Tribolium castaneum: one gene and its partner. The protein of the gene in region 2 purifies or fractionates together with the protein of the main gene of each other region. This does not show direct contact. Links are inferred from orthologs where the notes say so. Each region holds a gene or a part of one and is shown on either strand. Other genes may lie near its edges.

Region 1 (3,219 bases), on a different chromosome or scaffold from region 2:
TCAAATAAATATTGCTAGACAATTCGACGGTCCTAAGCAAAAACGCAGTATCTTAATTTAATTTTTCACTAGCCCGAAAAATAACTTATTTAACCGGAATCTTTGAATGCCTTACTCTTTATCCAAATATTTAGCTAAAAAATTTCGTTTTTTAAAGATAAATACTACTCAATACTACTACTTAAATGGTAAAAGCTACTAAGTTAGGTAAATACAATTTCAAGCAGTTTTCAGTACAACAGCAATTAATTAATGAAATATTAACATTTACGGGATAAATTTATGTAATAACGCAAGAGATAGGGCCAATCTAACTAACGATTAAAAGTTATATATTAGTGCAAATGTATTCTTTGCTAATTAAATTATAAAATATAGTTTTTTTACAACTACATAAGTAATTTTTATTTAAACAAATAGAATATAAGCGACCGTCTTTAACACATTTTGTAGATGGGAAAAGAAATATTCTATTGCAGTTACTGTTTATAAAAAAAAAATTTTGTTTATTAGTTTAGACAAAGAATTGCTGAGTATTTAAATAATTCTAAGCGCAAAATATGTAAAAAACTCATTTTTTCAATGGTTGTTTATTATGTTTTTGCGAATAATTCGCCGCATTTTACACAAGAAATTGTAAAATTTGAAGAACAGTTCCTCACCTGTCATAATATCATAGGCAAACAGCTCCTTCTCCACGTCCCAAAACCGGACAATCCTCGAATCCCCTGCCGCAATGCACGTCTGTGTGTACTGCTCCCACGCCAACAGCGTCCCTGAATATTTCCACTTCAAATCATTCAAAGCCTGCCATGCACTTATCAGAGTCGGTTCGCGACTGTGACCCGTATTCGGCTTCCAAACTTTAACACTACCATCGTCCGAAGCCACCATCAACATCGCCACATCATGGGCATTGATCCACTCCAACGAAGTGATCCGACTAGACCCAGCCTTTGCCGACTTATTATGACACACTGTCGTCTTAGCCCCAGTCCCCCAATCCCAAATCCTAAACCAACCAATCAAACAAACAAAACTACAAAAGGTAAACAAACCCGAAATGATCCTTCCCAGCCACTGCGATTTGCTGGTCAAAGGGGTGAAACTGGAGGACACTGGGCGGGAGCGAGGTCCTAGTGTTGAACAACTGAGATTCGAGTTTTGACGAAAGGATACGCGAAGTTTCGTCCAAAGCCTCCCGTCTTATATTATTATTCCTGGTGTACCTCCAATCGCGTTCGTAAAATTGGGGCGATTCGACGTCAAAGCCACTCTTTCGCTTCGATTGCGCGAAGCGTTTGCACGACCATTCGATGAACTTCGTACTCACTAAAGCCTTGCGTTGCTTGATTTTCATGTCGGTTTCTTCGTTGATGATGTTGGGGTGGATTTTGCGCCCCCTTGGGGTGTATTTGGGGATGTCGGTGGCGGGGTGGAGAGTTGGGGGGCTTTCGCCCGACAGGTAGTTCCCCCGGTTGGGGCTCGGGGGCAAACTTGCACACTTGTTATCGACGAACTCGCGCGATTCCTTCACTTTGTTTGCTATGTACTTGGTTATAGTCTTACACATTGATTCCACTTCGGGGTGCGGGTCGGTTTCAAGCGAACACAAAGCGTCCCATATTTTCATGTAAATCGAACCGTAGCCGAGGCCTGGTAACGTGCCAAGGCTGCCGGTGTGGCTGAGGGAGCCTTTCATTTGCCCCATGTTGTTTATGGAGGAGCTGGAGGACACCCGTTTCATTTTATCGACACTGTCTTCGGAAGTTCGTAACCGGTCCCGGCTGCCGATTCGTCGCAAGCCGGGCGAAGTCACGTTGACTTCTTGCAAGGGATAGTGACTTAGAATCTCCTTCATTGACAAAGTTATAAACACGTGTTCGAAAGCTAACACCACCCATTGGAGCGCATTTACTAATTCTTTACGGACTAGATGGCTCATGTCATTACTGACTTTCTTAACTAGGGTCATAACTATCGCGTGGTCGATGTTATTGGCGTGTTCCGAACGCTCGGTCACCGAATTTATAAACGTACCTAAGGCGTAAACGGCCGCTGCCCGAACCTAAAGCAAAAAACAATTTTTTTTATTGAAATAAAAAACAATCAGTGTTACCTCTGGGCATGGGTCGTTCAAAAGTTTGTAGAGTTTTTCATGGGCGATGTCTCTAACACCGGTCCAGCGGGCGTTTTCGTAATGATCCCATAATTTCCCTAAACAAATAGCGACCCATTGTCTCAACTGTGAACTGGGGTCGTTCAATTGTTCCAGACAGATACTAACTAGGGAACCTTTCAAGGCCGCTTCTTGCCCGTCGTGGAAATTGTTAACAATTGACGCCAAAACAAAAGCCGACTGTGTCCGATATTCCGACTAAACCGACCAATCAATTCGATTAAAACCACACTGAATCAACTCACCGAAAGTGAAGTGTCCTGAAGTACCGACAAGAAATATTTATGGCCACTGTCCCTCACCAAGTCACCTTGACACGTCTGAAAAACAGTCAGACCAATTATTGACTGCGACCAAACCACCAACAACTTACTTACATTATCAACAGCTAGAATCTTAGCCCAGATGAAAACCAACAAAGGCCTCAACTCCTTAGCACTACTCTGTAATAATTTAAGAACGTATGGGAAAATCCCAACAGACAAGGCCAAATTAACAGCCCACGGTCCCAAATCGAGAAACCGCCCCAACAGTTCAAGCGCTCGCATCCGATGGACTTGACTGAGTAGGACTTGTAAAACAATTGGCAATTGTTCGGGTGGACTGCGCTCCTCGCATCCGAGTTCTAGCCAAACTTGGAACGCGGTCAATTGCTCTTCGAAGAAAGGCAAGTTTTGGAAAGGTTCGTTTCGGTTGATGATTCCGGGAAGTTGGCCGAGGCTCAAGTCGAGGGCTAGGTCCCATGCGTTCCACATGGGGTGTTGGGAGGTTGGTGGTAACAGTGGGGAACTGACGGGAGTGCAATCGCACGATTTTAGGATGCGTTCAGCGAGGAGGAAATTACGGAAAAGGGACGCAACGAGGAGGTCTTGACGGAAGAGTTTTTGAAAAAGATCTGGAATTTTTGTACTTGTATTTTTTTCGAAGGATTTGTGTTTATTTAACCCACCTCTCTGTAACGTATTCCAGGCTATGGTGTCTGTAATTGCTGTAAAGATCCAATTAAGCTCACCGAGCATTGTGCGGCGGTCGGTTATTTG
Region 2 (4,453 bases):
TACTATCGTTATGTTATTTCCCAGGAGAGGAACGGTACTCATTTTGAACAATTGTTGCATTAAATAATGTTCAACTTATAAAATTGGTTTTTATTTTTTATCACGTATGCTTTGAAAAAATTTAAAAAAGAAATAGTGCGTTGTATTGCTTGCGAAAAAGGCTTTCATACGAGGTGTCACTTGGCATACCATTAACATTTGAACAAGAAGTTAGAGGTGGCTGTGCATTTCTGACAGCAGATAAACAAAAACCATATGCATCAAATAGTAGGCAAGGAAACATAAAAATTGACCTGCTTCGGGAATTTTTACCAAAATCGCCTTAAATCAAAGTTATGATTTATATTCCAGCTGTATATTTTGCTTTAAGTAATCGTCTTTTACAAGATTGCAATGGAAGTTTTTCAACACTAGCTTAAATATCCTTATTAACTTTTAAAAGTTGTTATTATTAACGCACTATAAGTGAAGCGCATAAATCTGGCGAATCAAGAAATTAGTTTGTTTTATTAAAAACGGTAAACAGCTGGATTGAAAAGGCATAAGATTCATCGTAGCCGTGTTTATTTGAGCATGAATAAAGCCAGAGCGCATAGGTGTCGGTTGACTAATTACTGCAAATTGCTGTGAATTCAACGATCCAGTTTGTTTACGAACATTCGCAAAATGATTAAAATAACGTCGCGAGAAAATACTTCTCGTATTGCAAAAGGTAACGACGACAAATAATAATCGCAAATCTACTGTTGTTTTAGTAATTTGTATGACATTTTCAAAAATACGTAACATACTTAGTTGAATGTTCTAGTTGCACATGTTGATGGAAAAAATATCAAACTGAAAGCTGTATTAATTTGATTCATTAAAATGTTCCTAATTAGCAGCACGAGTTTATAAATCTGAGTTAAATTTACTCTAGATTGTTATGTAGCTATGCAGTATTGACATAAAAAGTGTCTTTATTTCATTTCTGCATTTTAATGTGCAAAAATTCAAAAAACTGAAAGCTGTATTAATTTGATTCATTAAAATTTTCCTAATTGGCAGCACGAGATTATAAATCCGAGTTAAATTTACTCTAGATTGGTATGTAGCTATGCAATATGAAAATAAAAAAGTGTGTTTACTTCATTTTAATGTGACAGAAAAAAAAAGAAAACACGGTAAAAAAAATTGGAAAAGTTGAAACAAAATAAAACACTTTCGTGACATGAAATTCTTTGGGAAATTTCATTGGTTATTTCTATTCTTCCTACTGGACTTTTCTTTGTATTTTCTTGTAATTCATCCTTGTTTTTTCTCTCTCTCTCTTCAGTCAGGCATATTTGAAAATATACAGCGTGCTCAAAAACTGGCGCACCAACTCAATGGTGTGTGGTAGATAAGTGGTTACATATAAAGGTAAAAGTAGTAAAAAAATTCTTTGTATTAAAGTTATTGATAAATAACTAATTTTAGGTAAATGATATGTGGCAACGTTGTCTAACAGTCATGATCGCAATAAAAATAAATTATTTTTGAAACGGTTTCCTAGGAAATAATTCCCAGTGTTGGCACATCTACAGATTGTGATTTTTTGGATGAAATTTAATTTTTTTAAATTAAAAAAACTGCTAAAATCTTATAGTAAATTTTAAAATAATTATTCATCGTTTTGTTACGGAACGATTACCTGGTGTGAAACATAAAAACATAAAAAAATAATGAAAACTAAAGAAGTTAACACAATAAGTTTGTAGCTCCAGATTTTTTAAAATATAACTTTAGCAATTTTTTCAACATTTTTCCCGTAATCTGCACTTGCTTCTCAATAACGTACCACTGAGTTGGTGCGCCAGTTTTTGAGCACCCTGTATTAATAAATCTAAGTTAAACAATAATAAATTACGCATTTTCTTTATTTTTTATAAAATAAATTCAAAGTTAATATCGGCATCAATTTAGATATCAATCGGTGGTGATAAAGCCATGGAATGTTTCAAATACATGAAAATCATGCAATAAACTTTAGATAAGAAAATGCATTGTGTTTTATTGTTTTCCAAAATGTTCCAAATGTTACATTTGGATTTGTATGACGAGAATATTCGCATTTTTTGGAGATTCTTCTCAATACAATTTTTGTTTGTTTTAACTTCTAGTGTTTTCTTTTTACTTTACGTCTTTGGAAGTTTGAATTTCTCTTTAATTTTTTTGAAAAATTGTTCGCTTTTTCGGAATTCGTCCTTTACAAAATCCCTGACTAGGTTTTTGTAATTTTTTTGAATTTGGCTTAATTTAGAAGTTTTTTCCTACGCAATTAAACAATGTGGAGTTATTTTTGAAAGTGTCGTAACATTCACTATTTGAATCTCGCAAAATTCCTGATTCTCCCTGGACTTTTTTTGTTTTGGAAATATTTATCGGAAGTTGGATGATTGCCGAATTTACTAAATAAACGTGGACTAGTCTGTGGCATTATCCAAAGTAAAATAAAGAAATGGAATGCAAAATTTTGCTTTTCGGAATGATTTGCTGCATTTTCTCCCATCCCTTGCGTTTTGACGTCGAACCAAAAATATCTCGCTTCCCCAGGTTCGTATGACGGACGCCTACTACCGGGCGCTCCTCGCCCGCTCTCCGGACTTCAGCGCGGGCATCCTGCACCCAGGTCAGGCCGGCCTGGGGCTCTCCCGCCAGCCGCGCCACCCTGGCACCCTCGGCCACCACGACCGCTCCAGCTCCGCCCCCAACGTCTGCCTCAACAACGTGAAGGGCCCCGGCGACGACTGCCCCAAGTCCCTCAGTCTGACCCGGGGCGGCATCGACGACGGCCTCCCCCACTACCACAGCACCCAGGCCTCGCCCACCGGCTCCCTCCAGCCGCGCCGACCCCGTGCTCGCTCCGCCGACGAGAGCAAGCCCCTCCTCGCCCCTCGCGAGAGCATCGAGGATTGGGAGATCCCCGCCGACGAGATCCTCGTCGGCCATCGGGTCGGCTCGGGCTCCTTCGGCACGGTCTACAAGGCCCATTGGCACGGCCCGGTCGCTGTCAAGACGCTCAACGTTAAAATACCAACGTTGGCACAACTGCAAGCCTTCAAGAACGAGGTGGCAGTACTGCGCAAAACGCGACACGTGAACATTTTATTGTTCATGGGGTGTGTTAGTAAGCCGCAGTTGGCGATCGTGACGCAATGGTGCGAGAGTTCGAGCTTGTACAAGCATCTCCACGTGCACGAGACGAAATTCGCGCTTTTTACTTTGATCGAAATCGGGAGACAAACGGCACAAGGAATGGACTACCTCCATGCGAAAAATATCATCCATCGAGATCTCAAATCGAATAATATTTTCCTACACGATGACCTAACCGTCAAAATCGGCGATTTCGGCTTAGCCACGGCCAAGATCCGTTGGTCGGGCTCCAAGCAGTTCCACCAGCCGACGGGGAGCATCCTCTGGATGGCGCCAGAAGTGATCCGGATGCAGGAGGACAACCCGTACAGCTTCCAGTCGGACGTTTACGCGTTCGGGATCGTTATGTTCGAGATGTTGGCAATGCAATTGCCCTACTCCCACATCAACAACAAGGACCAAATCCTGTTCATGGTGGGGAGGGGGTACCTCAAACCAGACATGAGTAAACTACGCTCCGACACACCCAAAGCTTTAAGACGACTCACTGAAGACTGTATCAAGTTCAATCGGGACGAGAGACCGCTTTTCAGGCAGATTCATGCCTCGTTGGAGGGACTTTTGAGGAGTCATCCGAAAATTAACAGATCGGCGTCCGAACCGAACATGAATCGGACGCAGATCCAGTCTGATGATTTTATTTATCCGTGTGCTAGTCCGAAAACACCGGTGGCGTTCGGACCGTCGAGTTTTTTTTATTCGGGAGGAACGGGTAATATCTGAGGGGAGGGCGCCAAGAGGGACGTTTAGGACGAGTGAGAGTGCGTGATACGGCTTGAGTAGAGGTTATCATTAAGTTATTGTCAAGTATTTAAATTTAAATATTGTTTTGTTTTCGTATTAAATAAATTCTTAAAAAAATATACTGCGTTTACTTATTTCCATCCCATCCTACGAAATTCGAAGATTCTGAAAATCTATCTTTGCTTTCCAAATTCAGTGTTCCAACCTTTGACTGGACTGAAAAGTCAAGACTTTGGAAACTTTTTGTTGAAATCCGAAAAAAAACTGATAAAATTTTCGATTCAATTTTATTTCGTATTCCTGGTTTTGGACCAGGGTACAGAATTTAAGTTTCAAATTAAATAAGTTCATAAAACTGTAGTGATTGTTTTTTCTTATTTGGATTATTTCCTGTCTCCCCATTAAAAACATGTTGAATAATGTTTGTCGCAACAGTAAATACGATTTTCTGACTGATCATTAGGACAGCAGAAACAATTTGATATTATTTTTTTAATTTAAAATGGGTTTTTCATTGAAGGCAAGTGTTGCC

What was found. Proteins that work in one complex are often made in the same cells at the same time.
Region 1: the proteins of Raf (region 2) and raptor purify together in Homo sapiens (affinity purification with mass spectrometry; 3 studies listed by BioGRID and IntAct, with this or other methods). This does not show direct contact. The link is inferred for Tribolium castaneum from reciprocal best matches to the Homo sapiens genes BRAF and RPTOR.

The regions. Positions count from the first base shown.
Region 1 is NC_087399.1:3,462,929-3,466,147, forward strand, and holds part of raptor (regulatory-associated protein of mTOR), read right to left. Parts: coding exon 3,129-3,219; intron 3,075-3,128; coding exon 2,557-3,074; intron 2,500-2,556; coding exon 2,425-2,499; intron 2,378-2,424; coding exon 2,120-2,377; intron 2,069-2,119; coding exon 1,059-2,068; intron 1,013-1,058; coding exon 663-1,012; intron 1-662. UniProt on the Homo sapiens protein: Component of the mechanistic target of rapamycin complex 1 (mTORC1), an evolutionarily conserved central nutrient sensor that stimulates anabolic reactions and macromolecule biosynthesis to promote cellular biomass generation and growth.
Region 2 is NC_087400.1:7,671,073-7,675,525, forward strand, and holds the end of Raf (raf homolog serine/threonine-protein kinase Raf), read left to right. Parts: intron 1-2,574; coding exon 2,575-3,900; 3' UTR 3,901-4,040; downstream 4,041-4,453. UniProt on the Homo sapiens protein: Protein kinase involved in the transduction of mitogenic signals from the cell membrane to the nucleus. Phosphorylates MAP2K1, and thereby activates the MAP kinase signal transduction pathway. Phosphorylates PFKFB2.